Arabidopsis thaliana: one gene and its partners. The protein of the gene in region 1 interacts with the protein of each later gene in a pairwise test. Each region holds a gene or a part of one and is shown on either strand. Other genes may lie near its edges.

What was found.
Region 2: the proteins of AT2G05330 (region 1) and AT5G18037 interact in a two-hybrid assay, tested with the Arabidopsis thaliana proteins (one large-scale study listed by BioGRID).
Region 3: the proteins of AT2G05330 (region 1) and MYB65 interact in a two-hybrid assay, tested with the Arabidopsis thaliana proteins (one large-scale study listed by BioGRID).
Region 4: the proteins of AT2G05330 (region 1) and KNAT3 interact in a two-hybrid assay, tested with the Arabidopsis thaliana proteins (one large-scale study listed by BioGRID).

The regions. Positions count from the first base shown.
Region 1 is NC_003071.7:1,936,341-1,943,154, forward strand, and holds AT2G05330 (BTB/POZ domain-containing protein), read right to left. Parts: upstream 3,131-6,814; coding exon 3,026-3,130; exon of another isoform or gene 2,994-3,025; intron 2,821-2,993; coding exon 2,278-2,820; 3' UTR 2,237-2,277; downstream 1-2,236. Other genes in the region: AT2G05320 (beta-1,2-N-acetylglucosaminyltransferase II), read left to right, coding at 1-968; SCRL15 (SCR-like 15), read left to right, coding at 6,217-6,286, 6,467-6,702. UniProt on the Arabidopsis thaliana protein: May act as a substrate-specific adapter of an E3 ubiquitin-protein ligase complex (CUL3-RBX1-BTB) which mediates the ubiquitination and subsequent proteasomal degradation of target proteins.
Region 2 is NC_003076.8:5,969,427-5,975,856, forward strand, and holds AT5G18037 (NAC (No Apical Meristem) domain transcriptional regulator superfamily protein), read right to left. Parts: upstream 2,141-6,430; 5' UTR 2,103-2,140; coding exon 1,887-2,102; 3' UTR 1,675-1,886; downstream 1-1,674. Other genes in the region: AT5G18040 (target of trans acting-siR480/255 protein), read left to right, coding at 3,530-3,626, 3,796-4,196, 4,289-4,549; SAUR22 (SAUR-like auxin-responsive protein family), read right to left, coding at 5,265-5,537.
Region 3 is NC_003074.8:3,598,377-3,607,095, forward strand, and holds MYB65 (myb domain protein 65), read left to right. Parts: upstream 1-3,659; 5' UTR 3,660-3,829; intron 3,830-3,972; exon of another isoform or gene 3,973-4,153; intron 4,154-4,507; exon of another isoform or gene 4,508-4,614; 5' UTR 4,615-4,679; coding exon 4,680-5,051; intron 5,052-5,170; coding exon 5,171-6,179; coding exon of another isoform or gene 6,180-6,205; exon of another isoform or gene 6,206-6,272; coding exon 6,273-6,553; 3' UTR 6,554-6,796; downstream 6,797-8,719. Other genes in the region: AT3G11450 (DnaJ and Myb-like DNA-binding domain-containing protein), read right to left, coding at 7,083-8,719. UniProt on the Arabidopsis thaliana protein: Transcriptional activator of alpha-amylase expression that binds to 5'-CAACTGTC-3' motif in target gene promoter. In vegetative tissues, inhibits growth by reducing cell proliferation. Promotes the expression of aleurone-related genes (e.g.
Region 4 is NC_003076.8:8,732,374-8,740,778, reverse strand, and holds KNAT3 (homeobox protein knotted-1-like 3), read right to left. Parts: upstream 4,836-8,405; 5' UTR 4,572-4,835; coding exon 3,891-4,571; intron 3,616-3,890; coding exon 3,495-3,615; intron 3,407-3,494; coding exon 3,222-3,406; intron 3,145-3,221; coding exon 3,013-3,144; intron 2,935-3,012; coding exon 2,798-2,934; intron 2,704-2,797; coding exon 2,664-2,703; 3' UTR 2,178-2,663; downstream 1-2,177. Other genes in the region: AT5G25230 (Ribosomal protein S5/Elongation factor G/III/V family protein), read right to left, coding at 1-156, 232-300, 372-1,070.

The DNA of each region.
Region 1 (6,814 bases):
CTCAGTATTTTCGAGTCACAGTGGAAAGTTTGTCGAAGGTTAAAGGTATAAGTGAGACATTGTTGATTGTTAGTCATGATGGTTACTTTGAAGAGATGAATAGGATTGTGGAGAGTATTAAGTTTTGTCAAGTGAAACAGATTTTCTCGCCTTATTCGCCTCATATATATCGTACTAGCTTCCCGGGTGTGACCCTGAATGATTGTAAGAACAAGGGTGATGAGGCAAAGGGGCATTGTGAAGGTAATCCTGATCAGTATGGGAATCATCGGTCTCCGAAGATTGTATCTTTGAAGCATCACTGGTGGTGGATGATGAACACTGTATGGGATGGGTTGGAAGAGACTAAAGGACATGAGGGGCATATCCTTTTCATTGAAGAAGATCATTTTCTGTTTCCTAATGCCTATCGTAACATACAGACTCTTACGAGGCTGAAACCCGCAAAGTGTCCTGACTGTTTTGCTGCTAATTTAGCACCGTCTGATGTGAAGTCAAGAGGAGAAGGGCTTGAAAGTTTGGTTGCAGAGAGAATGGGAAATGTTGGGTATTCTTTTAATAGAAGTGTGTGGGAGAATATTCATCAGAAGGCAAGAGAGTTTTGTTTCTTTGATGATTACAACTGGGATATAACGATGTGGGCAACGGTTTTCCCGTCGTTTGGTTCCCCGGTGTACACATTGCGAGGGCCTAGGACTAGTGCGGTACACTTTGGAAAATGTGGGTTGCATCAAGGTAGAGGAGATGAGGGTGATTGCATCGATAATGGGGTCGTAAACATAGAAGTTAAGGAAACAGATAAAGTTGTGAACATAAAAGAAGGATGGGGAGTTCGGGTGTATAAGCATCAAGCGGGTTATAAAGCCGGTTTCGAAGGTTGGGGAGGTTGGGGCGATGATAGGGACCGACATTTATGTTTGGATTTTGCCACTATGTATCGTTACAGCAGTAGCAGTGCATCTCCATGAAACTTTAGAGACTTCCAAGTAAAGGTGGTAATATAATTGAGGGATTGCTTTCTTGTTATGTGCTTAGTGACTCAATTAGCTTGTTGTATTTTTGATTGTTATATCTTGTTTGTATCACCTGAAGTATTTCACTTTCTATACGAGCTTTTACCGCCTTTTTTACTTATTGAAAAATAGATTCAAAGTGATGAAATCTTAAGGCAGTACAGGGATTTCAGATTTGGTATTAAGCTGGTCTGCAAAAGCTCTTTTTTTTTTTAGCCGGACGGTGATAGAAGGTCCAGTTGAAGGAATTTAAATTCTCAGGTAAATTTGTGTATGTGCTTGGGTTTAGATGATAGGAGTTGGGCCCAAACTAAACCCACAAAGACCTTTTGCTATGACTCACACAAAAGTTGGCGTTTTTCTTTATTTTTAATTTTTCGTACTGCAAATGTTAAAACGGATTCTTTAACCAAAAAATTCGTGTCGAACCGCATCATATTACCTATGTAAACAATATTCGTTACAAATAACTTTTTTTTTTTGCATAATTAATATCGGTCGACGGAGAAAAAAAAAGTTGGCTTATGAGTGATTATGCTCCTAAACTCAACATTAGTTAGAGAATATAGATAAGCTGGTTCTGTATTTTGTTTCATTTGTAAATGTACTAGTGAGGGGAAATTTTGGAACGTTTCATAGATATTCAACTTTACCATAGATCATTTTGAAATGTCTATAAACGAAATTAATCACCTTTTTTATACTTACTTATATTTTTCTTAACTATATTTTTTCTAATAATCAAAATCGTTATAGGGGAAAATTCGTTGTATTGGCCTAGCTAGTTAAGAACATCGGTGGATGTTTTTCGAGTTTTTGGATATTTAAGTTGGTTAACACATTTCACTCCAGTAAACGGACCAATTAGAAAAAGCCACATATGAGTCTTTTTCACTCCAAAAATTCCTAAGATTAAGGATGTCTATTAACAATATTGGCATTTTTTATTTATTTTGAGCTTTTTTTTACGGACTCATACATTTAAAGCCCCTTAGAAAACCACCATTAGAGATGGTCTAAACGCTTTCTAGTCAAAGGGCACTGGTACCCATAGTCTAATATCTTTAAGATGAACAATTTACTTGGGTTTACAATCGATATATTTTCTTATTTTTGCATGCATAGGAAAAGAGATGTAATAATATTAGACAAAGATAAATCTAAAACCCGATCATTTTAATACGAGACTTGGTAAGTTTTGGAAACAAAAACGATAAAAAATGGTTTATTAATTTGATACGACAAAAACTACATTGTGATTCATCTAGCTGCGACGAGGATAGTCAAAACCACAACTACAACAGCTTGTACCAGTCTGATTATGATAGGTTATGAGACCACACCTAGAACAGCTTGTACTAGGAGTCCGAGTAAGAGAAGCCATCATTACCTCCACGGCAAGATTTGGGTAATTATCAACGAACAACTTGAACTCATCAAAGCTAGGAAACATAAGTTCATTTGTTTTAATATAACTAAGGGCTGCATCGTTGAGGACTTTGTCAAAAGGGATTTGTGCGAGCTCAAGAAGGTTAAGAGAATTCGTCGAATTCAGAGAAGATATAAGCTCAGATCTGCATAGCTCTCGTAGTCGGAGAATCTCGTATTTGTCAGCCGCACGATAGAGTGCCCGAGCATGTTGCTTCACTTTCGAAGAAAGCATAGAACCATCACTATATAGAAACTCAACAAAAGCTTCTAGCTCTTCTTGTTTCATCTCTAAGAGAGTGATTGTTCCCACCTGCTTAGCCGAAGTCTTGAACTCGTCTGATTCTAGCATCTTCTTCAAAACCGCCGATCTTGATGCCTATTCAAATCCCAAACATACTTGTTGAGAGAATCATTACAATAACCACACCAACCCAACAAAAAAAAACTTCACATAAAAGGAACACTCACTAAACATTAACATTTCTAAATTTAATTGATTCTTGAATAAGATGATGATATCAATAAAGAGAAGATGAAAAAAGAAGAGACCAGAATAACTTTTTGGGCAGAGATAATTGAACCATCATCACTATCCACTGCCTTGAGCCGTACGTCAACTTGCCAATTTTCTGCCAAGATCTTCGCAAGTCCCCAGAGAAATGGTCTTGGTTGGTTTGTGTTGCCATATCAATAATGTAACGTATATTTGAGGTTGTAAAGGATGGTGGATTATATAGAGAAGATAATGACAATTGAAAACGGTCAAAATAACTTTTTACTTTTCCTATCTGCTTCCAATTTTCAAGACTTTGGAAATGACTTTTTATATTTCCCATCTGCGTCCAATTTTCAAGATTTGGAAATGGATAAGACCTATCAAATATATATTAGTTTTTTTTTCTGGAATATTTGGCAAAAAACCTTGGTCTTTCAAAGTATTTATCCAAAATACCATTGGCGAATCGGATTAAAATTGAAATTGGGTCACAAAATTTCTGAAATCTTCAATTGATATGCACACCAACAATTACCATTTATCTCGCTTTCTCTAACTAAATTTGTTTTTGGGTACAATTTTTATAGATAATGAAATAAAGTATGACTATTTACTGCTAATGTAACAAACTAGATATTGACCTGCGGTACACTGCTGCTTGATTATTTTCGTTTTGAATTAATTTAATGTTTCAATTCAATATCATCTATATTTAAATAATGATCTTAGATATTCAATTTATCAAAACTCATTGTTTATATCTATTTACACTTAGTGATTATATTAGTATGTTTCTATATGGTTTTGTATAGTTCCGGAAGCATATATATTATACGCATCTATATACAAAGTGTGTATCTCCTAATTTTATACGTATCTAGAATGTGACCCGTGGTACACCAAGGGTTAAGTTTTTTGTTTATTTTAAATTTTTACAAAATGAAGAATTTGTTGTGTACAATGTCTATTGTTGTTTGTGTTGATTAATAATTTTTGATAAAGTTGTGTACGGTTTTTATTAAGTCATAAGTTTATGATATTAGTAAGTCTAATATTATTTTATCTTCTAGTATATGTCCCGTATACCCTATGTTTTATTCACAAATTTTTGTATTTTAAATTATATAATTTAAAATTTCTATATTTTTTAATTTTACCCTTAGAACATAGGTAATTTAATAATTTTTTATTACAATTATATATTTAGATGTGTTAAAGAAGATTAACATTTAGAGGTGTGAAAGAAGATTAACATTTAGAGGTGTGAAAGAAGATTAACTCTTATTTTGATATACTATAGTGTTGTTTTTTAAAAGACAAACAAAAAATCTCTCTCATCCAAACTCATCTCACCATATAAATCTGTCTCACATATAAACTCGTCCCATGGTAACTAAAACTTATTTCTTTTTTTCTTTTATTTTTAATAATATTTTTATTTAAAATATTCTGAGTTAGTTTAAAATTTTCAATCTAATGTTAATTAGTCGTAAAGTTTCCGTGATTATGTATTCTAATGTTATTTTGTATTTTATATGGTTTTCTTGAATTAGATTTGTTTTATATTAACATTATTATTTCTTAAATTTCTTTGCATCATTTTATTTATTAATTAATAACAAATACTCGAAAAAGTTATCTAACTGATGAATTGGAAACTAATTCTCTCCTATCCAAATTGGAAACCAAAATTCTCCTTCAGTTTGAAGAACATGATCTGATTATAATCGGTTCTACATGTCAATAGCTTCCGCTAATGGTCCAAGTTGAATATACTTTTGGGTCAATCGATGTGTAAGTGATTTTGATTCTTTGTTGATGTTTGTAAATATAGTTTCATTTTAAATATGAATCGTAACCCCATGGATATATTTAAACCGATTGACCATTCCGATTCTAAAACTAATTTATTTCCAGTATTTTTAATACAGAAAAGAAACTTATAATTTTAATTGTAGTAGGTTGTTCTTTATAGAACAAAGATGATTGTTTTGCAAAACAATTTGTCTAATCTTTAGATGATTGTACATAGATGAATATATTCAAGCTTTGGGAATTCATTCCCTGAAGTACTGTTATCAACAAAAAGAAGATAAGAAGGACCGTTCAACGACAGAAGGACAGTTGATATGAGGCCTGCTTCCAATGCTGGCTTCAAAGTAATCACAAAGCTTATTCATTCTACATTCTGATTTCAATCTACTGTTATACGTTGCACTCGTTGTAAAAACGCTATTTTTTTTTAATCTAATTTAATATTATTATTTTTTTTAAAAAAGAAGAAGATAAGAGTTCATTATCTAATTTAATACAAAAATATATATTCACCTTAATATAGATATTATAACTAACAATTGTTTTATTTCATAGCTGAATAACAGGTTTAATGCTAAAGAACATATCTCAAAGTCACTTATGTATCGTCTCCATCTTAAAGTCACTTCTGTATCATCTCCTTACACCAATCAAAGGTTAGTTATAATGTAAATCTTTTTAGGCAGATGGTTCAAATACTTATGAGTCTGATGATGAATCATGCCACCGTATGAATAAAATAAATCAGAGAAATCTATATTAACATCATGATTACAATAAGTTAAACACAATAAGATAAATCAAAAAGGAAAACGATTTATACTAAAACAGAGTGTCAGATAATTACATGTGCAACAACTTCCCAATACTAACTATAGTGTTTCACCAGTTGTGTTGGTATTGTGGCGCCACGAATGATGTATTTTTCACCTGCACTCGCCAAGCCGTCTTGCACGGCCTGATGAGAACATGTTAGTACAGTTGGCCAAATGAATTACGAAAATGGGCTATGTTGAAATTGTTTTCATGGGCTTTTGAAAGCGAGACTAGACTTGATCTTGCAAGTTCTCCTTATTAATATTTATATAAGAAAGGTTGTTGTAATTCTTGTAGTTTTGGTTGAAGATCTTCAATTGATTGTCATTTTTTTTTCTCTAATTAGAGAGATATATTAGTATATATAGATAGATTTATTTCCCTAAGATTTTAAGATGTCCCTAATTAGTTCAAAGGAAATAAATAAAAAGCAATTTAAATAGTAAATAATCTAATTCATATATAGAGATAGCCATTAAGCTTTGTTATCTCATTGTTTTCCATTTGCCCCCACACATCTCCTGTTTTTCGTTTTTGGTCTGAATTAATATAAATTTCTATTGTTTGTTTATGTTGATATAAAAACTATAATCATTACAAGACTAAAGAAAACACAAAAGCTTTTGTAAAATTTTATTATCAATCATGAGATTTGCTAGTTTGTTTGTGGTTTATTGTACTTTCATGTTCCTCGACATAAGCCATGTCAAATGTGGTAAGCAATATAATGATATCGATTGTTACAACTATTTTCTTCTTTCTTGATAAAATTTACATCGCAAGCATCGTTGTGGTAAAATAAAAATGCTAATCTTCTTTCATCATTAGTTTATTAATCTAAGACGTATTATCAATATATAGTTTTGACAATCTTTGTGGTTGATATAAATCATAGAGGTGGAACCGGTGCCATATTGTAAAGTTATCACATGGTACGATGTTAAATGTGGTGCTGATGGAAACAAGACGTGCGTAGACCACCTTATCAAAGGGCATATATATGACGTTCCTGTTTGTGATTGTAGTGAGTTGACGACATCAGGAATTCTCTGCACATGTCAACACCGTTTTCCTTGTAAAGAGCCACCTCCGTTACATCGTATTTCCATCAGAAAACAAATCCGGGGATAAACTAGAAGATTGTAAAATTTAATAAAATGAAAACTAATATTACATGCTGTGGTTTCGGGCTTGGAAGGATTATGGGCTTCGGCCCAGAACCTCCTGATATTTAAAAAAAATA
Region 2 (6,430 bases), on another chromosome or scaffold:
CGAAAATATTTTCCCGTAAAATTTTTGTTTTTGGCAGGAAATAGATTTACAAGGGATTTTAAAAGGGTTTTAAAAGATTTACAAGAAATTTTAAAAGGGTTTAAAAGATTTACAAGAGATTTTAAAAGGGTTTAAAAGATTTACAAGAGATTTTAAAAAGGTTTTAAAAGATTTACAAGAGATTTTAAAGGGCTTTAAAAGACTTACAAGAGTTTTTAAAAGATTTTTAAAGGGTTCGAAAGTGTTTTAAAAGATTTACAAGGGATTTTTAAAGAGTTTTAAAAGATGTACAAGAGTTTTTATAATATTTTAAAAGAATTTATAAGAAAAACTTTTAAAAATTCTTGTAACTCTTTTTAAAACCTTTTGTAAAGGTTCACAAGAGATTTAAAATGGTTCAAAAAGAGTTATAAATGTTTTAAATACTTACAATTCTTTTTTTTAAAAGTTAAAAAATGCTTGTAAAGACTTTATAAGAGTTTTAAAAGGATTTACAAAGGTTTAAAATCCCTTGTAAATCATTCTTTGACACTTACTTATGCTTTAAAAACGATTGTAAATCATTTTAACCCCTTTTAAAATCCCTTGTAAATCATTCAATAACACTTACTTATGCTTTAAAACGATTGTAAACCATACAAACACTTTTAAAATCCCTTGTAAATCATTCTATGCCACTAACTTATGCTTTAAAAACGATTGTAAATCATGTTTTACCCTTTTATAAGCTTTTAAAATCCCTTGTAAATCATTCAATGCTTCTTATTTATGCTTAAAAACGATTGAAAATCTTGTAAAACTATTGTAAAAAGCTTTAAAATGATTTACAAAGATTTAAAAAGGTGTTTTAAAGTATTTACCTATGTTTTTAAAGACTTTATAAAGATTTTAAGAGGTTTTAAAATGATTTACAATGGTTTTTAGCAACTACCAAAGCTTTTAGAAAACTTTACAAGGTTTTTTAAAGAGTTTTTAAAAAATTTACAAGGTTTTTTAAAAGCATTTTTTGGCTGGGAAAAAAATTTTACGAGAAAAATTTTTGGCGGAAAAGTTTTTTTTTGGCGGGAAAAAAAGTTTGCCGGAATTTTTTTTTTTGGCGGGAAATTGAAAGTTTCCAAGTACTTGTTATTATTAAATGAGGGTAATTTGGTCATTCTGTTCAAGAAAAAAGATATTTTTAAAAATAAATAATATAAAAGAGTATTATGGCAAAAAGGTAGTCAAAAAATATAGTTTTGCAAATCTCCCATTAATTTAACCAATTTCTTATCCATTTCGTAGGCCAAAGTTTCTCTTTTTCCTTCATAGGCATGGATGGGCCTGATCATTATTAATATCTCATATATTAGATGAGATAATCTCTTTGATCCTCAAAACAAGAAAATATTTTTTCGTTTGTGAAAACAAGAAGGTGAGCAGTTACAAACTCCTCATAAAAATAATGATCTACATGTCTTTAAATAAACAAGAATATACGAGATTTTCCTAAAGTTTTTATGAGGAATTTAAATAAATTATGCAAAGGGAAATATCAAACTAGACACAAAATTGAAGTAAAATAAGATAGAAGTAGAAGTTATTATCCTCTTCACTGAAAATTTACCAAGACACATAATCATGGTCCTTTAAGGTGGCAGAGAACTTGAACATGGAATAATGAGCCACCGTTTTCGAGATAGTATTCTGTCATGGTCCAACCACTGGCTTGTCTCTCACCTTTGACGTAGAAACTTAGACTTCTTCCCAATCACTGCACCGGTATCTTCCAACACGACATCACTCAACTTCCCATGGCCTTTCCAACATCCATCAACCGTCTCTCCTTTGACTTTGCGGCTGATGCGTTTTCCAGTAACGTTTTCAGAGAGATGATTCACTTTCACGAACTAGAACCATTCATTAGGTTCCAAAAAGTTAGTCTCGGTGTGAGACAACCGCCACGGCTCTTTGGCATAGATGTCAAACTTGTCTTCTAATTCAAATTCTTTATTTGATCTTTTGGTAACCTTAGGCCCGATATAACGGATGATGAGTTCTTGGGCAGAAGGATGAAACCAAAACCCAACATGTTCCTCTTTATCGTAGTACTTAACCATCGACATATTCTTTTCTTGTTCTATGAGACAAAGAAAACGCAAATCAGACAAAAAGTTAAGGATCTATATATTATAGCAATAATCCAAGGGGAACAACAAATGATCTTTAGAGCAAAACTGAAAAACAATAATAAACGCGTTGAAGACTTGAAACTTTCAGGTAGACAAATAGAAAAGGTGATTTCGTATATATATGTGGATTTTAAGGATTTTTAATATATTAGGAAAACGATTCTTTAAAAAGGAAATATATCCATGTAATTCAAAGCCAATATTCTTAAAATTAGATAAGTAAGCCAATATCACATTTTTTCTTTTCAAATTTGTAATGTTGGTTTTAGCGTATGATATTTTGTCTACTATTTTCTTTTTAAACTTATTTTGTCTTATATCTTTTTACAAACTAAAAAACAAGATTATTCTTTTACTTATCTAAATAATGTTCAAAGACTGGAAGATTTCTTGCTCTTCTGATATGGAGAGATACTTGTATTAGTACTTGAAGAAGCTTATGCCTCAAATATTTTCTTGCTCTCCAAAAAATGCATTGACATGATCGTGATCGGTTGCACAAAAAATGGTATCCACTCTCTAAACTTTTAGAACAAGTACTCTTTCAAGAAGAAAGAGAAAAAATCTATTTACAACGAATAAGTCGATGTCTAACTCGGAAAAACAAAATGTTGGATCATCATCATTGGAGCCTAAAAGAAAATTGTTGTTAAACTATAATTGTTGCCCTTAAATAAACAGGCAAAAACGATGTTGTTAAAAAGACTTTTAAAAACATTGGCAATGTCATAAAAACGGCAACGTTTTAAGGAAAGTTTCAAACGTCGTCGTCTTGAGGACTAAAGTTGAAGTCTTAAAAAGGCGACACGTTTCGGGACAAAGCTGAGGGGAAATCTTCGCGACGACTGTGAGAGTTTGTTTCGCGAACATTCTCTGAGTTTCTCTCGACGCGACGGCGATTGCGAATGTCTTCTCCTTCTGATTCTCGTCTCTCTGTGTCTCCGGTAATTTCTCTCAATTTTCTCTCTCTGTTGGATTCTTTTAGCTTGTTTTGGATTTGTTACCGATTCTACTCCGTGACTTGGCCTTTCTCAGTGCTATTAGTGAACAGAGATAAACTTTAGGGTTTGAACTTTTTTTTTTGGATGAATGATTTGAATCCTTTTTAACGTTAGAGTTGTTCTTTGTTAATGGAAGCTATCATTGTTACTTTGGTTTACTCTAAAGCTTCTTGTTCGACGATTTTTCCTCTGCAACTAGAAATGGTTGTGTTTATGTCAAAACTTGAAACCATGTTTATGGTTTTCGCTAGTTAGGTCTTGTTTTTGTTTTTCCTTTTGCCTTATCTGCTTGACTCTACTGGATTTCTGAATGTGTTCTTCTGCTGGATTCTACTTGAAACCAGGGATAAGTAATCGAAGATGAATATGATTCAGCGATTCATGCAATCTATGGCAAAGACGCGTGGCCTCTGTCATCCAGATTGCGTAAAAGCAAGTAGTGAGCAAGAAGATTACGGTAAATGAATCAAATCTTGTTCTAGAGAACATTACTTTATTCGCATCGTTAAGAGATACTGTGATTGATTTTAGCTGATAGTAGTTTACTCCCTTTTTAATATAGTCTAATCCTTTGAAAGAGTCATATGAATTGACTACAACATTTTCATTTTTTTTTTGTCTTGCAGATGCGTCTCAGCTCAGTATTTGGTGGATAATGCTGGGAAGGAAGACGACCAGGGAGAAATGGATGAACCAAGCTCTCAGTTCACTATCGAAAACTTGCATCAGTATATGGTGGAAAATGTCTGGAATAAGAGGTAAGATGTGCAGGGAGAGGGAGCAACCACTCACTGTCAAAGACTGCCTTGAATGTGCTTTCAAGAAAGGGCTACCGAGAAGAGAACATTGGGCACATGTGGGATGTACATTCAAGGCTCCCCCATTTGCTTGTCACATACCCCGCGTGCCCATGAAAGGAGAAGTGATTGAGACTAAGAGTTTGGATGAAGCGTTTAAGCTGTTGATTAAACAACCGGTGGGTGCAAGACTCCATGTGTTCAGTCCAGACCTTGATAATGTTGGAGAGGTAAAGTGTTGTGAGATAAATTTCGAAATTTTCAAAGATCAATGACAAAGTTTTGATCTAATCTTATTCAACCTTTTTTTTTTGTGTGGTAGGGAGTTTACGAGGGCCTGTCTAGCCTGTCTCGTAAGGAATCACGCTATGTTGGACTTAGGGATGTCATCATAGTTGCAGTGAATAAGTCCGAGGGAAAAACTGTTGCTACTGTGAAGATATGTTACAAGAAGAAGACTTCATTTGTCAAAGTGTGTTTGAGCCGTATGTTTGTCCAGCTTGGTGGTGGCGAGGAGTCTCAGGTGAAAGAGCCAACAGGTCTGCTTGTTGACTTCTGTATCCCACGCTTATCTATCAACTAAACAAGAGCTGAGATCTTGGAAAGTATCTCCTAGTTGTGGAACCTCTCTATGTTGGTCTCATTTTAAGAATGTTTTATCAGACTTATTTTCTGTTTTATGTATTTTGAAAACCGTATGCTTGTTGTGAAACTCTGTTTGTGGTCTCAAGTTAAGTTTGTTTTATGAGACTTTAATCTGTGTCAAGAATTGAGATGTTGATCGCTACTTCTTGGATAAATTATATCTATAAAATTTAAGAATTGCATTTGATGGAAAGTCTTATATGTAAGCAAAAAAGATTACTGGAAGCCTCAATGGCACCAAAAGGATTTTCTTGCATGTCTTTGAAACTGCACTTGCAAGCATTTCGTTATGTAATATCTTTAGCTAGATATTGGGGTAATCTGAAGATAGCGGTTAACAAGAGATTTCCGGAAAGTGATCGGGATTTTGAACTCGACGTGCTACCATTGAGGCATGGATCCGGATGATAAACAGGGAAACATATACTTTTCTAACCATGATTTAACTATAATGAAAGGTTCTTCAAATGGTGTGGTCTTTAGTTTTCAAAGATCATTCCAAAATGTATTGACATGTCGTGTCGGTTGCACAAAAATGGCATCCATTCTCTAAACTTTTAGAACAAGTACTCTTTCAAGAAGAAAGAGAAAAAAGCTATTTACAATGAATTAAGTCTATATCTAACTCGGAAAAACAAAATGTTGGATCATGATCATTGGAGCCGAGAAGTCACATTGATGAACGTATCTTCATGACAAGGTATCGTTAAGCCCCCCATCGGATGATCAAACCCAAACTCATCTTCAGATTTACTGAGCAGAGCTTGAAAAGAAGGTTGGTTCAAGTATGAGAGTGGCACTAAGTATCTTTTCTTCTGGCTCTCTCCTACGTACACTGCAAGAAACCCTTTTGGTGCCGCCGAGACTGCTGCGGTGGAGCGGCTTAGAATCTTTTTTGCACCCAGTAGACTTCTCACCAGAGCCATTTATAATTCTCTATTTGTCTGAAAATTTGATTTCTTTTTTAAGCAAATCTGAAGATGAATGAAAAGATTCAAGTTATTGGATATATTGCTTGTTGTTGGTTGATGATAGAAAGAATGGGTTTATGTGTGTATATATAGAAATATCAATGAAGGAGTTAAGCCTCTCTGAAAAAATCATTGAAACTCTTGGTCTTGAAGCGTGGGACAAACTAGAGCAAGAGTTCACATGGTTCTGTCTCTACCATTTGGAAAAGATGCATTAATGTAACTTGTCTTGGTGAGATAATTAACAAACTCCATATGCAATTCACAAGGGCTTGTTTGCTCAATGTTTTGTTTAGATAAGACATATTCTACTGTCAATAATAAAGGCCAGCAACTTTCTCTTCTTCAAATTCTGTGATGATCTATTCTTGAATCTCTGTGGTCTAAAATTGTAAATGGGGTTTAATAAGAAATTATAGTGGGTACTGATGTTGTTCAACAACAGAACAACAAATCCTATCGTTTAAAACATTGAAAAAACAGTCCTTTGTGAACTTATGGAGTTTGTTTTTCGTTTACTGTCCCACACTCAATTTATTGTTAGATTATCTCATCAAGACGAACTGCATTAAACTAAATCTTTCCAGATGGTAAAGACATATTGATAGGCAACATAATCTTAGCTCGCCGTGAGAATCCATCTTTTGCATATCTGCTTCAACAATGGTTTGCTCATGAGTAATCTCTGCATTCTCATAATCTCATTTCATGATTAGGCTTTTAAAAAAAATCTTAGCTATGCCAAGCTCTTGCTAAGAAAATGTTCCTCTTGGTAATGATAATCACAGTTTATCCAAAAAAAAACAAAAAACAGAACCATGTGAACTCTGTCCCACGCTTCAAGACCA
Region 3 (8,719 bases), on another chromosome or scaffold:
CTCGTTCCAGTTGGCCTACCTCGCCAGTTCCACGCCATCTTTCATAAACCTCTTTTTGCTTTCATTATGATGAAATACTTTGGGTTATAAAAATATAGAGTATGTATTTGGGTATTTATATGAATTTATTCCGCATAAGTGTACGAAAATTATACTGTAGATGGCAATTGATAAAGCATCCAATTATATATGTTTGTTATTTCTCCTAAACCTATATATATATCTTTTGTTGTAAGGAGTAAAATTGTATTCTGAAAAATAAAAGTCCCGAGTCCGAGTGTGTTATCCTACTAATTTCAAAACATTTAGGGTTACGAGTGGTAAATATATCTTTAAGTTCTGACATCAACTAAGCGTATTTATGTAATGGGAATTGATCTTTGATTTCGGTTAACTATTTTAGCGGTTTGCAGGAGTAGGTATTTAAATAACTTTGTTACCAAATGACAAATGTCAGAAATTGATTGCCAAAGAGAAGAGTTCAAATAAAAGATAAGGCGAAAATGCTGTGGAGAACATTGGAGACATGATTGGCGTGCTTTTTATATGGGATCCTAGCTAACAGAGCAAAATATATTAAGTTACAGAATACAGAAGCACTAAATGGAAATAAGTGGTAAAAATAGCTTCGAATACATTAGCTCCATCTGTTTCACATGCGGTAAACTGAACCTTATAGTTATAGCTCATTTTGCAGGTTTTAGTGTACAAGATGTTGCAAAGAAAGAAATGTGAGATCCGTGTGATATAAAGAACGGCCACAACCATTATCGACATACCTTACTCGTATGCATTTTCAGTAACAGGCACACAAATGTTCTTCCAAATTAAACAAAATCATAGTTCTGTTAAAGTTTAATATATCAGATTGTCAAACGATTATCTGTAAAATTAAGTTCTTGCAATACCCACTAATTTTACCATTTGGAGCCTAGTCAGAGATTGGCATTTTGGGAAGATGGAATTATAAACAATAAAATTCAATGTGAAAAATCTGTTGGTAGATCTGAATCAAAATACACAGCAAGAATGCATCACTATAACATATAGTCGTTAAATCTACTCAAACATATATACTGAAGTCATCAGAAAACAAAAATTATGATGAAAGCTGAGAGAAGTAAAAATCCTAAAATAATGGATCAGTATGATCTAGAGATACTTACTTATATATGAACCAGAAAAAAATTAGGATCATATGAAATAATTTGGATTCTTTTTTCGGAAAGCTAAGATCATTTGAGAGGTTCAAAACATCTACAAGAATTCAAGATAGAGAGAAAATGAACATACCAAAAAGTTCTCGAGCTATATCCAAGAAATACCTCCGATCTGTGAATTCCTACAAAAAGATTGGACTATGAAATTTCCAATCAACACAAACCTGTTTCTATGTGTAAGCCACTGATTGCAGCTGCAGCATCATCAAGATTCTCATACATACATCAAAAATCTAATCATAAATGGGTTTATTTACACGAATACTTGATGATTTGTGAATCTTGATGATGCTCCAACAGCGAACAGTAGCTGGTTGATGATAGGGATGTATGTAGTGATTTGGTTTTGTCTTGGATCTTTTCAAGACTCAAGACGGCACCATTTTGCTGGAAACATGAAACCCTAATTTCAATCCTTAATCTAGAGTCTAGCTAGTGACCTAGAAAGAGATAGATGTAGACTTTTATATATATGAAGCGATAAAGAAGAGCCTATTTGGTGTTTTCTCCAATGATGTGCATAAAATATATATAATTAACAAATTAAAAATACGTTAACTGAGATCTCAGATACTCAGGTCATTAGTACAAAGTACAAACGTCTAATAGAGGCCAATTTTGTCATCCATATTCAATTCAAACCATATCATTTGCCATAACCGTACCCATATATAGATATTTGTTAGTCTACAAAAGACTGTATAAATCGTTTTATCTTGTGTTCAAGCCATCAACTATGATATCAAATTACCAGATCACTCATGCTAAAGAATCCATCGAAATGTATTAAGTTTGTCGAAGTTCGTTACTCTATATGGTGGATTTTAAATATTTGATTTGGTTAGATAATTTTTAGTTATACCGTCAAATAAATTTCCAACTATTTAGTCAGCGAATTTAAAGATCAAACACTAATCATCAGTAATGGTTTGCTGAAAATCGTCAGAATTTCTTTTACTAGTGAGCAAGTTTTAAGATGAAATAAAAGGTGTGAAACGAAATAGAGAAAAGGTAGAGAGGGAAGAGACAAGCGTGAGACACGGAGAAGTGGAACTGATCTCTTTACGTTCCTCGTACGTTTACCAAGTTACACTGCTTTCCATATTTCTATATTATTATTCCCTCCATCCCTTTCTTCACATACTTTATGTAACTTCTTTTTAAAAACCAATTATTTGTATTCTAATTGATTGAATCAAATAGTTTCTATAAGACTATAAATAAACATAATTCGAATTCAAATTCGGCAGCGTTGAAAGATATATGTTGAACAATACATTACCACACTTATTAGTAGAATATATTTATTTCTAGAGTCTCAAAACATAAGCCAAAAAGCCGAAAGCACCTTTTTATCTTTGTGGGTTTGGTGCAATGGATCATATATATGGTACATTAGCATTTTTATCATCTTTCTCTTTTATCATTTTTCTTGTATTGTCGGGCTTGCGTCAGGCCTGTACTTATCTTCATACAACATTATTTATGTACATAACCAGAATTCAGGCCACAAACAATACGTGAGCTATTCAGGATCACGAGGTCCACGCGCTCGCTCACCTTCCTCTTTCCTCAAAGGCTTTAGCTAATTGTTAACTAGATGGAAAACAGTGCTATGGTTGAATTTTAACATATTGGTTACTACTATCTCAATAATATTTTGTAATACAAATGTCGGTAGATGAATTGATATACCACCTTCATGGATGATGAAGATCCACTTTTAAAGCCCAATTTTTTGTTTTTCTTCGATGCCGAAATCAATATGGGCACATGTGGATCCTACTATAGCAGTTCCTCAATTTGAGTTAAAAATCTTTGGGTTTTAGGCTTTTAGCCCAAGGAAAAAAAAAAAAAAAAGAACCAATTTTTATTTTTTATAATTTAATAAGAACCAAATTATTCATCATTATATACTTCTGACAACAAATATTTACTATGTATATTATATAGTGAAGAAGCTGTGACATGAAACAGATTCAAGCCAATCGTCTGATTAGCTAGAGAATCACTGTCATAATCTATTAGTTGACAAAGAATGAATGACACTAGTACAGTAGTTAATATGAGTGCGGATTCTCGTAATCTCAACGTATCTACGTCAATAAGCTCATTTATACATCATTAAATTAAAGTACAACATTCCAATTTATGTTTGGTGGGTTCCTTTTTATCAAGACGTATACGATTATACCAAACCTTTATCCATAATTATTTTTAAATGATACATTTCGTAAATATTAATATTACGATTATTATTTTTAAACCTAAAATCTTTGAATTTTATAAAATTTTAAAATTGATAAAAAAGATACGGGATTTTTTTTGAGTTAATTGATTTTCTAATAAAGATATTGGATTCTTAGTGTTTTTTTTATTCTATAATTTATTTATAACGCGGAAATAAAAAGCAAAATAATTAATTAAGTGAGGAGAGTTTTAATATTTTGATGTTTATTTCTAAATTCATCTCTTTTTTCCACTTCTGTTCAGCTCTGATGAATCTTCTTCCTCTGTTACTTTGATCTCTTTCTCCATCCTTGTCTCTGTCGATTCTCTGAGATATCTTCTCTCGAGCTTTTTCCCGCGTTATCTCTCTCCCACTCCTGGTAATATTTTCTTCTTCTTCTTCTTCTAGATTGTTCTTCCGTTACTAGCTCTTGAATCCATTTCCACGGATCTCTGATCTTCAATCTCTGTTTTCATTCTCTCTAATCAGTTGTTGAGCTTGATATTTTTAGCTAACGTTTTTCCGATTCAAATTTACGATTTGTGTGTTTTCCGATAACCAAATCGGATATCTTCAGCTCAAACTCGAGCTCCGATTTCGTCTCATGTTGTAGATCTCGACGACTTCGTATTTGTCTATGGTTTGCTGATTGTATTCAGATTGCTAGATACTCAATATAGAGCTTACTTTTACCTCAGCTAGGGTTCGTCTTTGTTGTACCTTTAGTTGCTGCTTTTTGATTCTTGTATATATGGATTTTGATTGTTCAATCGTAATTTCTGGTTCATTGAAAATCGATTTATTAGTATTCGAAATTGGAACTAAGATTTAGAGATTGCGAATTTGATACAGAAGTCATTTCAAAGTATCAGAGCTATAAAATGGTGCTTAGCTAGTTTCTGGTTTCCATTTCTGGATTTTCATTCAAATACGAAATCTATTCGTCAAAATGGTGTCACTAGTGTTCTGTAGAAATTTCATTACAGACTTTTAGTTGTTGCCTAGTATCAACTCATATCTCAGCGGTAGATATGATGAATCTACTAGACATATTTTTCAATTATCGCCTCCTTTTACAAGTTTATCATGTCATTATTTTGTTGATAACTACATGAATGCTGGCTGAAATATTAATTTGTCTCTTTTTCCTCTTAATTGGTTCAGGTTGGAGCTTGATGTCTAAATTGTTATTGAACTGCTGGAGTCTGTCTTGCTTTAAGTAGAAAGAGATGAGTTACACGACGGCGACTGCTGATAGTGATGATGGTATGCACTCCAGCATCCATAATGAATCACCAGCTCCTGATAGTATTAGCAATGGCTGCAGAAGTAGAGGGAAAAGAAGTGTCCTGAAGAAAGGACCATGGACTTCAACTGAAGACGGGATTTTAATTGATTATGTAAAGAAGCACGGCGAGGGTAACTGGAATGCTGTGCAGAAACACACTAGCCTGGCCCGTTGTGGTAAAAGCTGTCGTCTGAGATGGGCTAATCATCTGAGGCCAAACTTGAAGAAAGGAGCATTTAGCCAAGAAGAAGAACAGCTCATTGTTGAAATGCACGCCAAGATGGGAAATAAATGGGCACAGATGGCTGAACATGTAAGTAGTTTTGTAACTGCGGAAGCTACCTGATCATGGTCCATTTTCATATTTTGATATTCTTTGTGAGCCTAAAGACTAATTAATCTCTGGTATGATGTTTTCTTCTTGTTTACCAGTTACCTGGTCGAACAGATAATGAGATAAAGAATTATTGGAACACTCGTATCAAGAGGAGACAACGAGCAGGCTTACCACTTTACCCTCCTGAAATCTATGTTGATGACCTTCATTGGAGCGAAGAGTATACAAAGAGTAATATCATAAGAGTAGATAGAAGAAGAAGACATCAAGATTTCTTGCAGTTGGGGAATTCTAAAGATAATGTCTTATTTGACGATCTAAATTTTGCTGCTAGCTTGTTACCTGCCGCTTCTGACCTATCAGATTTGGTTGCATGCAACATGCTAGGAACTGGCGCAAGTTCTTCCCGGTATGAGAGCTACATGCCACCAATATTGCCTTCCCCAAAGCAAATCTGGGAATCTGGATCTCGGTTTCCCATGTGCAGCAGTAACATAAAGCATGAATTCCAATCGCCGGAACACTTTCAGAATACGGCTGTACAGAAGAATCCCAGATCTTGCAGTATCTCGCCTTGTGATGTTGATCATCATCCTTATGAAAACCAACATTCGTCTCATATGATGATGGTTCCTGATAGCCATACAGTTACGTATGGCATGCATCCTACTTCTAAGCCCTTGTTTGGGGCAGTGAAGCTGGAGCTCCCTTCATTCCAATATTCAGAAACTAGTGCATTTGATCAGTGGAAGACGACTCCGTCACCTCCACACTCAGATCTCCTTGACTCTGTTGATGCCTATATTCAATCTCCACCACCATCGCAGGTAGAGGAGTCAGATTGTTTCTCTTCATGCGACACCGGCCTACTAGATATGTTACTTCATGAGGCCAAGATCAAAACTAGTGCGAAGCACAGTTTGTTGATGTCATCACCCCAGAAGAGTTTCAGTTCAACTACTTGCACGACCAATGTTACTCAGAATGTACCACGTGGCAGCGAAAACCTGATCAAATCAGGAGAATATGAAGATTCCCAAAAGTATTTGGGTCGCTCCGAGATTACAAGTCCCTCGCAACTTAGTGCAGGTGGTTTTTCATCAGGTGAGTTGATCAAAGTTACTTGTTGATTGGTATCTTATCTACTCTTGTTCCATATTGATTCTTATGCAGCTGTGTTGGTTTTCGTATATGAAGCTTTTGCAGGGAATGTTGTAAAGACAGAAGAGTTGGATCAGGTTTGGGAACCAAAGAGAGTTGATATAACACGGCCTGATGTTTTACTTGCGTCGAGCTGGCTTGACCAAGGCTGTTATGGCATTGTTAGTGACACAAGCAGCATGAGTGATGCGCTTGCACTTCTTGGTGGTGACGACATTGGGAACAGTTACGTGACTGTTGGGTCATCATCAGGTCAAGCACCACGAGGCGTCGGGTCTTATGGATGGACCAATATGCCTCCTGTTTGGTCGCTGTAACAAAATGAACCATATCACACAATTTGAATCTTTCTGTATTTTCATGCACCTGGCTTACATGACTTGGTGGTTTGTTATAGTTGAGAGAAGATTTGTGGACTTGGTAAAAATTTGGATTTTCTTCACCTGATTTTTCTTATACTTGGAAGGCATTTATATATACTCATTTCTTGTTCCTGCTACTTCCATCATACTAGCTCGATTGGTTTTGTTTAGATTGTAAAGAAGCAAATCAAAATTAGGGCTTATTGTAGCCCAACCTCTAATTGGGACCGGAGACACAGCAGCATGAGCGATGCGCTTTATTTCACAACTTGAAACTAGACGCTAATCAAACGTTACATAAGATTATGTAAAAAACAACATACTCCATAATAGTGGCTCCAGCACTCTCAATATATAGAGACATCAAAGGGAAATGAATCATTACAAATAATAAAAAAGTTTTAGGTCTTGCTTCTCGCAAAGTAACGGTGCCCCAAGAGGATTAAAACCCAAAATTCTCATGGGACTCCGAAATGATTTTACCTCATACTCCGGTTTTCTTGTTTCTAATGATTTCCTTAAGCTCTGCAAACTTCTTCTTGCATTGGTTCATCGTTTTACCAGGGACAGCTGCAGCTACTCTCTCCCATCTTTGGCTTGTCTCTTTCGGGAATGTCTTTAAAGCTTGAACCAAAGCTCTTTCTTGCACAGTCGACCAACTATCTGCGTCTGAACTTCCACCTACTTCACCATTGTTGTCTGAGCTTTGACTGCTCGAGCTTTTCCCCACAACAGTCTCTTTAGAGGGCTTTGCATTTGTTGTGGTCGTCATTGTGGGTAGAGATTCTCCGAGCTCCTCTCTTGTGGAGAGAGGGGATGTGATTGAAGCAGAGGGTTTCCTCTTCTCGAGGAAAGAATCGAATGCTTTAGCTGAATCTGGTTTTTGCAGGAGAACTGTTTTAGTTGCTTTCAGAATTTCCTCTACAGATCTTCCTGTACCAATGTACTCTGAAATAACTTCCCATCTCCGCGATGTCCCCTTTGGATATTTTATCATTCCTTTTCTCAGCATATCAATCTCTTCCTTGCTCCATGGTTGTTTCTTCTGAGTGCTACTATCTAACTGTGAAACTCGGGTTGTAGGCTCTGTGCCACCGTTGGTCTTCTTACTTACTTTTTCTTTAGATTCGGCTTCATCATTTCTACTACTGTTGCATCCATCTTTGATCACCTTTGCCAATTCTAGTCCTTCTTTGTTTCCCATTTTATCACATAGATTCTGCAACTGCTCGGTGTTAAGTGACATGCATAGATTCTCTATATCTTCCTCAGAGATGTCAAGCAGACGCTGAGCCACGAGAGGAGCTGAGAGAGTTCTAAGACGATTTCGTTCTTTGCGTAAGAGCTTCTTCTCTCTTTCCTTAGTTTTCTTTTGTTGTTGTGCAGATTCTGCTGCTCGCTTTTCTTCTTCTTCTTTTCGCCTTTTCTCTTCTTCAGCAGCAATAGCAGCGTCCTCTTCCTGCTTCTTCTTGGCCTGAATTTTTGCATCTTTTTTCTGTTGCTTCTCAGCCTTTTCTTCCTCTTTTCTTTTCACAATTCTCGGGTCTTTTCTATACGCATTGTCAACAAGAGTCCTGATTCGAGCATGCTCCTCCTTTCTAGCCTTCACAGTTTTTTTTGCATTCTCCTTTTCCATCCACCTACGTTCTTCACGGGAATCTGCTTGTTCAAGATCATGCTCCTCTTCATCAGGAAATTCCCTCCAACTCTTGAAAGCGTACCAAAAGTTGTAGAACTTATCAACATCTTTAAGTGGTGTGTTTTCATCTCCCAAATCTGGAATACGCTGATTCACTGACCACCTAGCATTTCTCTTAAACGCTGGACCAAACACCTTGAAAAAGTCTTGCGGCAAGCAATCCGATGGGACCTCGTCATCAAACTCATCAGTGGAGTCAAAAATTCTTCTCCTAGTTGGGTCCATCAATACCTCATATGCTTCTTGAATCGCTTTGAAGCGAGATTCAATCTCATCTTTTTTTGCCTCCTTGGCTTCTTCTGTTTCCTCTAACAGAAGGAGACTAGCGAGTTTATCAGGATGATGCTTCAATGCAGCTTCACGATAACTTTTCCTAATCTGATCTTCCGTCGCAAGATATCTTAGATTGCTCAAACCCAACA
Region 4 (8,405 bases), on another chromosome or scaffold:
GAAACATACATTTCCAGCTGCAGGGTCTATAAGAGGTAAGTCTGCAGCATTTGTTGAAGCAGCAGATATATGGTTATTAATGACTTCAATTGTATACCTCAGCTTGTAGTAAGCATCCCTTGGAGGTAGTTTGAGCTCAGTTATGAGCCTGTCAACCTGTTGGGCAGACAAAAAGCAAAGGTCAAGCAAATGTATGAAAATATAAAATTTCACACTTTAGGCATGATGTACCTTATTGATCACAACAACAATAGGGAGATGATCCTGGATTGCATGCCGTATAGCTCTCTCTGTGTTTACCTGAAAAAAGATTAATAGCGTTAGTACTACAAATAGTATACTTGAAAAAAGAGAGAGTAAAGACTAGTTACCATGACTCCTTGAGCAGCATCAACAATGAAAACAGCACCATCAGCAAGTCTTAAAGAAGCAGTCATTTCGTCAGAGAAATTGACATTTCCAGGTGTATCCATGATATTGCACAGGTATGATTTGGATCTACTGTCCTCAAGGACAAGAGACATTGGAACCGCCTTGATAGATATATTTCTCTCCTGCTCATCGACTCTTGTGTCCGTATATCTCATATGCTTGTCGTTTTCAGCATTAAAAGTAGACATACGATGCGTCTGCTCTACCAACATATCCATGAAGACAGTTTTGCCGTGCTGGAGATGCCCCACAAGAGCAACATTCCTCACAAGCGCAGGATTAGACATGAGGCCGATAAGAAACAGTGTTGACACATACGTTGTTGTTTGATCCTTGATGACCCCCACCTCAAATCTAATATCTCTAACGGGTTTGATAATGGGTTGCTCAAGAGACTGCTCATCTTCATCCATAACCAAGGTCTCAACATCCTCACCATAAACCTCCTTAGCAATAGGGTAGTACTTCTTATCCTCAGGAAGAACAATATTTTGGTTCTCATTGATAGTGGTAATCCAGCCATTAGAACCCCCAGGCTCTTGGAGATCTTCATCTTCTACACTATCATCACTATCTCTGTCAGATTCAATCTCAGGTCCAATATAGTTACCACACTCACCATACAAGCTACCATCCATCTTTATGTCACCTGTCAAAAAGGAATCTCATGAACTAGCAATCAGAATTTTGTAACGGCCAAATCAAGCACAAAATGTCAGAGACGAACCGGTGGGGCGAGAGAGCGAGAGGCGGTGCGAAAGCTAGAGGAAAATGCGGGTTGGCTCCGTGATAGGGTTTGTCGCCACTGTTTCTGCTATGTGAACGGAGTCGTCGTCGGAAGATTTAAATAGGTCTTTGATTCAAAATAGCGCATTTTTAGATTGATGGGCCAGGTCCAATATCTGTCAATCGGCCCAATTTTGTAAATTGAAACGTCTAAAGTGTAAACCAGAACGTAAACCGGGTTGTATATTGAAAGCTGCAATTTGAAGAAGAAACAAAGCATAACAAGATGGTGGTGGTTATAATGATTACATGAAGACAGTTCTTTACCCTACAGTTGGTAAAAGACCTAATTTGGCTTCTCTAGTTGGTGGGTGATAACGGTAAACTTTTGAATATCACTGTGAAGCATCGTCCAAGAGACCAAAACTCCGATTATTATTTGAATTTAGAAGACTAACACATACTAATGTTAGACTTCGTTTATCAAACCATTTATACAATCCAAATGACAATTCTCTAAGTTAACAACTTTGATGTTCATTACAAAACTACTTATATGAATCTACTTTCCTAGATTTAATCTAATGTACTAATGGGCTTCTCATGAGACTAGTCTTTGAACTTTGTATGGTCCTCTAATAGAGAGGCGACCAAAATACTTAAGGACACTCTAATTATCTTTGTTAATGTGTGCAGAATCTCTCCGTGATCGATAGAAAAATCTCGCCGAAAACTTACAGTAACTTGTGGCTATCACAAACGTGACAAACGAAACAACAAGATGAGGATAAACAAACAATTTTGACTAGAAAAAAGAACACGTTTCAAATTATTACAATTACAAAAGTACGCAGCAAGCTACGTTATGTAAGATGGGGTATGTTTTATTTTTTGTCGTCATCTACCATGTATAATGTCTTTTACTTATCAAGCCAATATCACGAGTTGGAATGTGACATCGCAATAAATACTACGAACTAAGCGGATAAGAATCATAAGATGGGTTAAGTACGGTTAATGCGAAACATATACTGTATAATAGTCACATAGATTAAGCTAACCAAGTGGTGCGATACAAATTAACATATGCACCTGGTCAATGCGTAACATATACTAGTAGATTAAGAAAACTTGTGCATCCCAATGTTCTCCTCTCTCACTATCTTTATTCACAAGATATATTATGGATGATGATGATGATTATCTGATGGTTCATAAAAAAAAAACTCATGCAGACAAACAAACAAAAAACATTAAACAAAAGCCTGCATCTTCAGTTTTCATATTTTCTTTTTGGTTTGTGTGCTACTTAATAAAATATATGGGCATAATCACATAACCAAACTACGTTACTATGTAATTGCACAAAAAGTTACTTTCTAATACTGTCCCCTCTCTCTGTATAATCCAAACTCCTCCATAAAATTCTCAACTTTAAATCCCTAAAACCCTGCTTTCAAATCCCATCTTCCACCTCCCCAATTCACATCATATGTTTGTTGTTTCTACGCGAACCGCTCTCTTCCGCTATTGTCACCTGCATTGCTTTCATCAGACAAACAAAAGTTTCAGTCTTCTTTGAGTCCGATCCATAAGTTTTTCGGTTATGTTACAAGACTATATTAAAGTATAATAATACCTTTTGCGTTTGTTCTTCAATACAGTGGAAGAAGATGGATTGCTATGCCAGTTCCTCTTTCTCTGATTGATGAACCAATTGTTTATCTGTTTTAGCTGCAAACCTGTCTCTTGCACCAACCTCGCCTTATCTTCCTCCTACAAACCAATATTTGGTTATGGCTCAATGAATGAACTTGAAGAAGTTATAAAGAGATGTTAGATGAGTGAACTCACAGTAGGGTAAGGCCATTTGGAATGAGATTGCCACCAAGCTTTGAGAACAGAGGTGGTATCTCCTGGTAACTTCCCAGCTCTTCTCTTCCTTAATATCTCCTCTCTTATGTCTACTATCTTCTCCTTGTAACCCTTTTCATCAACAAGACAAAGCCCTCTACATTGTTAGTTCATGAACTAGTTCAAAGAACAAGTTTGTTGATTATTACCTGTTTGAGTTCATGTTTAAGTTCTTGTCTAACTCTTTCCATCAACGACCTCTCACTCTCAGTAGGAATCAAAGGACCAAAACCCAACACATCTAATCCCCCATCGAACATATTAGCATCACTCTCTACTTGTTCATCTTCATCGTCAGACATTGTTGCTCCCATCCCTTCTCCAGGAGACACTCCTAATCTCACCAATAAAACACAAAACTTGTCAATGTCATAAAACTAACTATTGGATTCATGAGCTAATCACAGGATTCATTTTCTCACCTGTTAAGCTTTGAAGAGACTGCTCAATCTCCCAACAAGCCATCACAGCTTCCATTGCATGAACACGCACATGTTGTTGCAATTGCTCTTTAAATGAACACAGTAGCAACACATAATGTGTCTACACCATAAAAAAAACATTAATCAAACACACAATAAACACAAAGAACAAAATTTGTATTTTCTTCATCATCATGACCATTATTATATCATAAGCTCTTTTTTTGGGATTTTAGTCTTGTTTATCCCTAAAAACACAAATCTTGATTTTAATATTTTAAGATTTCAAAAATCAAGAAACCTAAGTCGGTGTGTATTATTAAAATTTGTGCTAAGTATAATTATGAAATCGTTAATTATAAAATTATAGAACAAAAAAATCTGAAATTTATATACCATGAACTGGTCAAGTTCTTTATCGTCGCCGACGAGACCTTGAGCGGCGGCGCCTAAAGCTGAGTATTTAGCGACGACGTGTTGAGACTGAGCAAGCTGAGCATCGATTCTCGGAAGCTGATCAACCGGAGTCGCGATTCTCAAACAAGCAACGTGCGCCGACAAAAGCTGCTCGTAAAGAGGATGCGAAAGGATCTCCGCCTTGTGTCTCGCATTCTGCCAGCTCACTACTCCATCCGCCGCCGTAGCTCCTCCGCCGTCGTTTTTGTTTTCTCCACCGCCGGTTTTCATCTCTCCCTGAATCATAGTGTCTGCTCCTCCGGTGACATCATCGATCCCATCTCCGACTATGGAAGCGTTGTTGTTGTTGTTTCGTTGGAGGAAAGAGGAGGAGCGAGATAGCCACTGGTTAGCAGCGGCGGCGGCGGCGGCGGAGGAAGGAGAATCGGAGCTGCTTGCGGTTGTGGTGTTAGCGGTGGCTGTGTGGAGGTTGAGGAAGTTATTGTTGTTATCTGAGGAACGAAGAAGCGCTGTGTTTAACCAATTAGGAGGCGGTGCTTCTTGGAAATGTTGTTGCTGTTGCGGAGGAGGAGGAGGCGGTTGCGGAGGTGGAGGTTGGTGTTGGTCGGTGAAATGATTGAAGGAGAGGTCTTGTGAGAGATGATTGTGATGAAACGCCATCGTTTTGGTTTGACCTTTTTTTTTTTGTTCTTTTTGAATTTTGTTTCCTGTTTCTGAGAGGGAAAGATAAAGAAAGAAGGTGAATCTCTGCTGCTTCTATGACGACGATTGTTTCATATGTTTCAATTATCACCAAAAAAAAAAAAAAAGACACAGAAACTTTTCTTAAAATTGGAAAATAATTGGTTTTTGTGGTGTGTATGTATGTATCTGAGTATATATGTGTGGGTGTGTTCAGAGTTGCACAGAGCTGAGAGATCGAGAGATGACCATTTATTCTCATATTTATTCTTTCTTATTTTTTGCAACCTATTTATCAATATAATTGAATTATTATATGGAATTTATTAGATAAAAAAATATTCCTTCTCTATTCCTTATTATTTAATTTTTTAGAGGAAAAAAATTGTTTTAAAAAAAATAATTTTTAAATTTTCTATACATTATTTATTAGTTATTATTGATAAATTTTTAATTTTAAGATAAATAATTGAATATCATTGGTTTAGAATTATAAAAAAATATAAATCACAAAAGATAATATGTTTATAATTAGTTTTAATATGTTTTTTAATATATGTGTTTTTTTAGAAAATTAATTTAAAAAAAAAAACTGAAAGATAGTAAAAACAAAACATTTTTTTAAAAATCGCTTATGAGAACTTTTATTTGTTAAATATTTTTCTAAATGCTAATTAAAAAGTAAGACAAAAATTGATTTTTTTTGTTAAAGAAAACAAAAATTGATTTTTTTTGTTAAAGAAGACAAAAATTGATGTCACCTCGTATAATCAAATCAACTGATAAAATCTTTTTTGATTTAACTAAGAATTTGTAAACTTTCTTCTATAGTGATATTATTATTGGGGGAAAGATAAAAATCCGACATCATAAATTAACCATAGAAAGCAAAAGTATTTAATAAATCAGTACGCTACATAATAAACAGTGCATTTGAGAAAATAAGATAATTTAGTTATGGTTGACAAAAATGTATTTTTTTTTCTTTTCCAATCACTTTGGTCCACATAGACCTAAGAAAGAATAAATATAAAAGTAAGTGACTAATGAAACAACAAATAGAAGATTAGGTCACGACAGAAAATTAATTAAAGAAAGTAGGTCGTCATGGTTCGATCTATGTCGTTAAATTTTAGTGGCGACTGTATTTATTAAGATCTGACGGCTGCGAAAGGTCGTTGCCTTCTTCGACTGTGTTTGATTTTTTTTATTGTTGGGAATAATAAATGTATTTTTCCTTTTTAAAAAGAGTTGCTACGTGTTGTGTTTTAAGACGCAACGTATCTATGATATGAAGAAGCGCGTGCGTTTCACGTTCAGATGTTAGTGTAATTTTATGGCACTATGAAACAAATTTAACTTATTTATTTATACAATTATTTTTTGCTTCACGCCTTTACCTATTATAAATCCTTCTCGTTTTATGTAATGAAGTTACGAGAAATTATTGAAAACAAAAAATTTAATCATGAATTTAAAGTTACAATTTTAGGTTAAAGATTTGAAATAAAACAATCTTTTAAGAATTTATTTATATGGATTTAAAAGACCTAAGTACCAGAAAACAAATTAGCTTATTTGTTTATGCACACTATTTTTTTGCTTCACCCTTTCACCTTTTTAAAATAATAATAATCATTTCATATAATATAATTTGAGAAATCACTGGTTCTTTAAAATCACATAATTTTCTGAAATCACAGTTTTTGGTAAATATAATTTTTAGATTTTTTTTGGAGTGAAAATTTTCGTACATGCTACGAAACAGAAATTTGGTATAAAATTTGATGGTAGTATATTCGATCGTCACAATAAAAGTTATCGTATATTTTTTTATTTATTTGAGTTTGGTTAAAAACTTAAACGATCAATTAATTTAGAGATTTAAACTTAATTGTGATGAATAGCGTCCTTTTGGTAAATTTTTAGCATTTAATAAGAAGTGAGACGCAAATAGGTCTAGGTTAACTCATACTATAAATGTGTGTTAACATAGTCACATATATAACTTCATCTTTGGGCTGGTTCTTATATTATCAAAACCGTTTTTATTTAGGATTTGAATGGTTATGGCGGTTGGGGCGGATAAAACCGTCAACGGATCATACCGTTTTTTATTTATTATTTATTAATTATAGTTCGTAGTGATCTAAAAAAAATAGAAGAAAACCGCAACGGACCATCTGCAGACCATTTTTACATACAAATAAACTTGGTCTGCAACGGTTTTTTGTCTGCCAGATAAACTAAACCGCAAACAAATTATACCGGTTTGTCCACACTGCATCCATCCAAAGTCTTATTTTCAAGAAACCACTTCATCAAATGTGTCCAATCATTACATAAATCAATTTATTTTATTCACAATAGTTATGAATGTCGAGCCACATGTCATCTTACTCAACCAAAAAAACGCCGAAGTTGTCCCAAACTACACGTGTGAAACGCTGAATTTTAAACATGCACGATCATACATTACATATTATATAATTTTAGTATAATGTATGTCCATGTAGGAAAGTTTACAAAAATAAAAATTTATATAGTTTTAATCTTTTCGATTCATCATATCTCCGATTTTAATATGTACGATAGTAAAAGTAATTAGATATTCTAGATCAATGATGAAATCAACAGTTGAAGTACAATTTTCCTAGTTAGAAAAATATAGAAATTTTCTTGATGTGTATAATTGTAATTACTGATGATAACACATGTAAGTTTTATATGGTGAATTTCATCTCTCTATAATTGAATAACACATAAGTTTTTTTATATTCTCTCACATCTTTCTAAAACAAGGCATTATAGTTTCACAATCCAAAATATTTTGTGCCGACGACAAGTATGTTTAATTTTCTTGGTACCCACTACAGTTTCTTCTAATATCGATCATCATTTTTTGAGTGATGTTTACGTCCTTCTATTGATTTATATTAATTCTAGTCAGAAATGGTTTTATTATTGAAATATTCTCCATCATCTACTGAATATTCCTACAAGTGAGTCATACTTAGGTTTATTGAGTTATTTGGATGCAAATGGATAGTAACCGGAAAACTAATAAACAATCCCTAAACAATAAGCAACCCACAAATCTAAAGCGACGCGATACGTAACAACCCCCGTAAATGTTGGAGCGTGATTTCCACGTCACTCCGAGGAGCGTCAGAAAATCATAATCAGCTAAAATAAAAGATATTCATAAATTAAATTAAATCAATTGCTTGTCGTAATAACATTTTTATTTGTAATGTAAATTTTATTTTCAACTAATCATTCACTAGTATTTATAATTATAAGAGATGAATAATTTAACATGAGAAATACAAAAACAAAAAGAAGAAGATAACTCAAATCAAATACTAAAAACTACATAAGAATGAAAGAAAAAACAACGAAGTGTGTATGTGAAGAACAACATCAACAAAAAGGAGAAGTATTGATTGAAGTCGAAAAAAGAACCAATCAACTTCGAAGATTTCTTATCTCTTAATCACTTTTGACATCCCTCTCTAACCTTTTTAATTTTGTCATACACTAATACCCATTTGTTTTCTTTATGATTTCCCAAAAATCTTTACTTGTTTTTCTCTCCTATATCATCACTAAAATACTATCCGTTTATAACTAACAAATCAATATATGCAATATTGATGAACAATTTTAGAAACTACGTTCCCCTCCACATACCCATAATAAGTCCATAACTTAAGGTTATACACTTATGCTTAACTTTTTCTTTCTTTTTTGGTAGACAACTCAAGGTTTTAGTTAACCACGAAAAATAATTTTACATGAAAAACTAAATTA